Kluyveromyces lactis: one gene and its partner. The protein of the gene in region 1 binds, or shares a complex with, the protein of each later gene. Links are inferred from orthologs where the notes say so. Each region holds a gene or a part of one and is shown on either strand. Other genes may lie near its edges.

The links.
Region 2: the proteins of QCR9 (region 1) and QCR10 are in contact, whole or in part, in a cryo-EM structure (PDB 8YIN), measured with the Saccharomyces cerevisiae proteins. The link is inferred for Kluyveromyces lactis from reciprocal best matches to the Saccharomyces cerevisiae genes QCR9 and QCR10. Residues at the interface, in NP_011699.1 of Saccharomyces cerevisiae: Arg13, Asn14, Ala15, Val16, Val18, Gly19, Phe22, Ala23, Phe26, Gln29, Thr30, Val31; in NP_011864.1 of Saccharomyces cerevisiae: Asn29, Leu32, Trp33, Gly35, Ala36, Leu39, Gly40, Phe42, Val43, Glu46, Leu55, Tyr56, Lys58, Leu61.

What each region holds. Positions count from the first base shown.
Region 1 is NC_006042.1:1,408,492-1,411,292, forward strand, and holds QCR9 (ubiquinol--cytochrome-c reductase subunit 9), read right to left. Parts: upstream 1,571-2,801; coding exon 1,502-1,570; intron 1,003-1,501; coding exon 796-1,002; downstream 1-795. Other genes in the region: protein translocase subunit TIM13, read left to right, coding at 1-104; E3 ubiquitin-protein ligase UBR1, read right to left, coding at 1,965-2,801. UniProt on the Saccharomyces cerevisiae protein: Component of the ubiquinol-cytochrome c oxidoreductase, a multisubunit transmembrane complex that is part of the mitochondrial electron transport chain which drives oxidative phosphorylation.
Region 2 is NC_006041.1:1,221,663-1,224,297, reverse strand, and holds QCR10 (ubiquinol--cytochrome-c reductase subunit 10), read left to right. Parts: upstream 1-1,304; coding exon 1,305-1,313; intron 1,314-1,579; coding exon 1,580-1,807; downstream 1,808-2,635. Other genes in the region: KLLA0_E13861g (glycosyltransferase family 15 protein), read left to right, coding at 1-1,009; bifunctional hydroxyacyl-CoA dehydrogenase/enoyl-CoA hydratase FOX2, read right to left, coding at 2,199-2,635.

The DNA of each region.
Region 1 (2,801 bases):
ACTGCGTCGACCAATGTTTGGCTAAATATATGAGAAGTTGGAATGCCATTTCAAAGGCTTACATTAACAGAATTCAGCAAGCTTCGGTTAACGGTGAAATCTAAGGGGCGCAACTTTTGAGATAAAAGAAGTTATTTAATGCTCTGATTCATTACAAGCTACATGTATATAGATTTGTATAATGTTATATTCGCGTCTTACGTATAATCATACATTATGAATGCTATTTCATACCCGTCGAATAAATTCAGGTATATATATATAAACAAAAGTACGGTATTGGTACACAAATAATGGGTAATTCTTTTTTATTATCGTATAGACATGATTAATACACAGAAACAGCACAAACAATACATTGTATTTAAATACAATTGAGCCGCATATGTGATTGATTGATGAGATTTCAAATAAGTGAGTTGAAAATAAATAGGAGTAGAGGGAAAAACAGCTAACAACAAATAAGATGAACATCAATGCGCAGATATTCACGCTTTATGGTCATATATGTTTTACCCTTTTTATCTCTTGAATCGAGTGAGATTCCGATAGCGAAAAGGATGAATGTTATGAAAATCTGAGAACATCATTCCAAAGTTGATGTCCTAGGCCTGGTAGACGTATGGAGTGCCGGATAGATAAATGTTTCCCGACAGTAGCGTATCCACATTTTTAAAATATGTTTTGAAGTGACGGTATATTCTAAGAAGTAAAATAATTGAACAAAAGCATCAATGAAAAGACACTTAAAAGTATAATGATGAGAAATGATATAATTCAAATGTCAAAAGAAACTTATTCATCGTCTTCTTCATCTTCTTCACCACCGTTCATGATACCACCCTTGATATCTTTCCATAACTTACCTTTGTTGTGGTTTTCGTACCAAGAGGTCACACCAGTATCGAAGGCAGCTTGGAAAACGAAGGCAGAGGCGAACACGGTACCAACGAAAACAGAGTTTCTCTTAAAGACAGTTTTGTACAGAGTAGAGGCGAAAGACTGTGATAATTAAGTTGTTCAGAAAAATAATTGTTAGTAATATGATCTAATATTTCATGTAGTCAATCCGCAATGATCTGGGAAAACAGCCGCTGGATTTTGCCCAGAAGGTGTCCATTCTTCACTTGTTTGATGTAACTGATATACATGCGATAAGCCATGGTCGTACTTCGAAGATAAATGTAGTATTGAGACTGCCTTTCTATTATATGGAGATATCGGTCATACCTCCAGGGAACCTTAACAGGCATCGGAAACACCACGGGATATGCAGACATTCAGCTTTGGAAGTATATTTCACTAATAATAGTATAATTGTACATTAGCATCTGCTCAATGTAATTTGCATCGTGTTTACAAACAGTTTTTTCAGTTCCCAGTTTTCGGTTTCTCAATTCCAGAAGTCAAATAAGACATCTACGCCAAAATCAATGTTTTCAGATCCAGAAAAGACGCATATCATATGTATTATCCATGACTAATCAAATCATTAACATACCATTTCTAAAACGGGAGTTCTGGTTTCTGTTGAGCTGAACTTTTTCTTATTAAACCTTGTCTTTGGCATCAGTCGAAGTTAGCTTTCCGTTTTATACATTTATCCAGTTTTTCAAAAATTTGAAGAAAAGTTCCGTACTCGGATATAATTGGGTCGTATGGTATGATATCCAGAAGTAATCACGTGCAAAAGTCTAGTACTGGGAGTACTTTCAACATGAATTATCAAAGGGTGGGACAGAGTCAGGCTACAATAAAAGATTCTGTAAGATATTGGACGGCATAGTATCCTGTGGTCAGTCCACTCCACATATTGCAGATTTATGCAAAACTAGTAAAAATATCTTATATCGATGTGTGCATAAACGAAATAACGTGCTATTCTATATATATTTGGTACATTGAAGTTGTGAATGGTGCCATAAGGTTAAGGCAATTTTGAGGTGTGACGAGCAAAAAGTTATTCATTCTACGTTATTTAACTCGTTGAAATCAAAACCTTCTTCTGCAGAACTGTATTCCGTGTCTTGATCTTCCGAAGCGTTGTTTTCGTGCTCTTCGTCCTCACCATCTTCATTGCCGTCACTTTGATCATTCAGTTCAAAGTGCTCTCTATTTCTATCTGCACGGCCGAAGAATCCATTCATTGCATTTCCTTGCAGTTGTTCAATGATATCTTCTGTAGTCGGAATGTCTGCGCCATCACCTTGCATACCCCCTCTCATGTTTTGAACAAACTCGAAAAAATCATGTATGTCACCTCTTTCGGTTGGTAATCTTATAGGGATATCTCCACCGAATGGTCCACCATTGATGCGTAATTCAACATCAGGCTGTCTAAACCTTAGATCTGGACGATCATCATTCCCAAACTCATCATCGTTCATAAGGTCCTCGTCACTGCTCTCCCCACCAGCGTTGAAAGCAGCACCAGGTCTCCAAAACATGTTCCTCGTAAATGTTCGGTTATTTGCCATCGCAACCCTGAATTCGTCCCCCATTACTCGGCTGATATAACCGGGGATACCATTTGAAATCCAAAGACGAGTTAAATGTTCATATCTAGCATGATTTAATACTGTTAGATCACCTCGTTCGATAGCGTTTCTTCCTGATTCACCGTGTGAGTTCAAATAAGGGGCCGAAATGTTGACGGTACAGTCCGGTCTACTTAAATAGAGGCACACTTGACTGATATTAGGAATTAAAAACAACCCACTGGAACCATGGGAACACCTTTCCATGTGCTTTTGCATTTCAAGGCCATCTGTACGTGCGTGAATCTTGACACCACATATCAA
Region 2 (2,635 bases), on another chromosome or scaffold:
GGATGGTATGTTGCAATCAATTAGACAATTCGAGAGACGATTCAACAAGAAATACCATTACGATTGGTGGTTTGTAAACGATAAAAAGTTCACTGAAGAGTTCATCAATGGTACTTCTAATGAAGTTAGCGGTAACGTAAAGTATATCACGCTTCCGAAAGAATTTTTCGACTATCCAGATAATATCGATCGTGGAAAAGCTGCCAAAGTTAGAGAGGAAATGGGCAAAAAGAAAATTGCTTATGGCGCTAGCGAATCGTATCGTTTCATGTGTAGATTCAATTCTGGATTGTTTTACAAGTTACCAGAACTAGCAAATGTTGAATACTATTGGCGTGTGGAACCTTACGTGAAATTCGGATGTGATATAAACTATGATGTATTCCAGCATATGAGACAAAACGACAAATTATACGGGTTTGCCATGGCCATGGGTGAAGACCAAAAGACGATCCCGACGTTATGGGAACATACGTATAAGTATTTTTTCGAAATGCACCCTGAACTTGTCAGCAAACGAAACAACTTCAAATTCATCTCGGACGATGACGGAGCCACGTATAACGGATGTCATTTTTGGACTAACTTTGAGATTGCCCATTTAAAGATATTCAAAGACCCGAGTTATGGGTACGAATCTTATTTCCAATATTTGGACTCACTTGGTGGGTTTTTCTACGAACGTTGGGGCGATGCTCCGGTTCATACGCTTGCATTTAGTTTGTTACTAGACGTTGACCAAATCCATTTTGTACCCGATACAGGGTACGCACACAATCCAAATCAAGATTGTCCAAGAGATAACCCGTTGAAAGAAATATTGAGATGCAATTGCCAAGCCTCAAAAGATTTCACGTGGCATCGTTGGAGTTGCGTCAGTAAGTTCTTTGATGTGAATGGACTGCAGAGGCCAGATACCTTATCACAAGTGAAGAAACACTACTCATATTTATTACCAGAAAATAAGAATATGGACAGGACACAGCCTATGACAACAGAACTCAAATAATTGGATAATTAACAGTCCCTGATTGCCAAGTGTGTCTGTCCTTATCCTTGTTCTACTAGTTAACCGATACAGATATGTAATCATGGTACCCAAATTTCCTATTTGCACGTGACCTACAACCAATCATCTCACTGTCCACGTCGTTCACAATGACATCAACACTATATGATAAAAAAGATAAAAAAGCTTCAATTCAATTAACTGGAGCATTATACCTTTACTATGGGATGTGCTTTTGGTCAACGTTGCAGATATCTATTTTAGAGCTGAAAAACACCAGTATACTTATTCCAAAATGGTTGCTGTATGTGTAGACATGTGTCTGGAATGTGGTTAATGTTTTGAAAGAGACTTTAGAGATGGAGTAGATCAAAACTCATAACTGAATTATCCAGATTTTTTTAGGTATACCGATATCTCCAGACCTTAAAGGTAAGGTTATGAGTACCTTTAGGAAGGATCTTTCATATACCTGATGTATCTTGGGCAAATATAAGCCCTTTGAAGACTGTTTTTTTACTAACATTTCATGTGTCAAGGGATATTTCCCTAAACAATTATCTTCATCAGTACGTTTCTAAACTATCAGCAAAGACTGCTGCTCACTTCGGTAGAATCACTTTTGAAAACTTGAAGAGTTACGCTCCAAACTTGGCTCTTTGGGGTGGTGCTTCTACTTTCGGTTTATTCGTGTTCACCGATGGCTGGCCAACTTTCCAAGATGCCTTCTACAGAAAGATCCCATACTTCGGTGACCACTGGGTTAAGGTTGTTGCTCCAGAAGACAGTCCTCAATAATTGATTATGCGTTATACGTATGATATTTTTTTGAACTTTCGTCATTGCAGGTTGCTTTCTCTCTAGATATGCTTAACGAGAGGAAGCATATTCTCAATCCCAAAGCCTAGAAGTAAGGAATTAAAATATTCTTCTGAGCACCATTATTATTATTTATTTTATGAAATAAACCCTCGAAAGAACGTTACTTTCGAAAAAGCACTTCAATTACACATTATTCATATAAATAGGACCCATCCTTTTACTAAACGTATATAAGTAAAGAGATATAAATTGTTTTATGTCAAAAGAAAACGGATTGGAATTGGTCGTTATTCATTATTTGCTACAAACTAATATACGTTGGGACATAATCATTACAGCTTACGCTCTCTGACACACAAAGCCAGAATTATAACTTTGATTTACCGATCAATTTAATGGCAGAATTGTCCAATACGATCTTACCAGTATTCAAATCAGTAGTTTGGAAAATGACAACATCGTTCTTCTTCCATGCTTTTACCTTTAATCTGTCTCCAGGGAAAACAACATTAGTGAATCTTGCCTTTAATTCATCGAATGGACCATACTTTTCAAATAGTTCCTTGGCACTCACACCAAGGGTACATAATCCATGGAGAATTGGTTTTGGGAATTTCACTGATTTGGCAAGTTGAGGATCAATATGCAAAGGATTGTAGTCACCGGATAAACGGTACAATGCAGCCTGGTCTTCAAAAGTAGAAATTTCAGCTTCAAAATCAGGGTCACCTAAGTCCTTAGTGACAAACGCTTTCGTTGCAAATGGTGATCTCTCCTTCGCCTTGTTGATAACCTTATTATCCG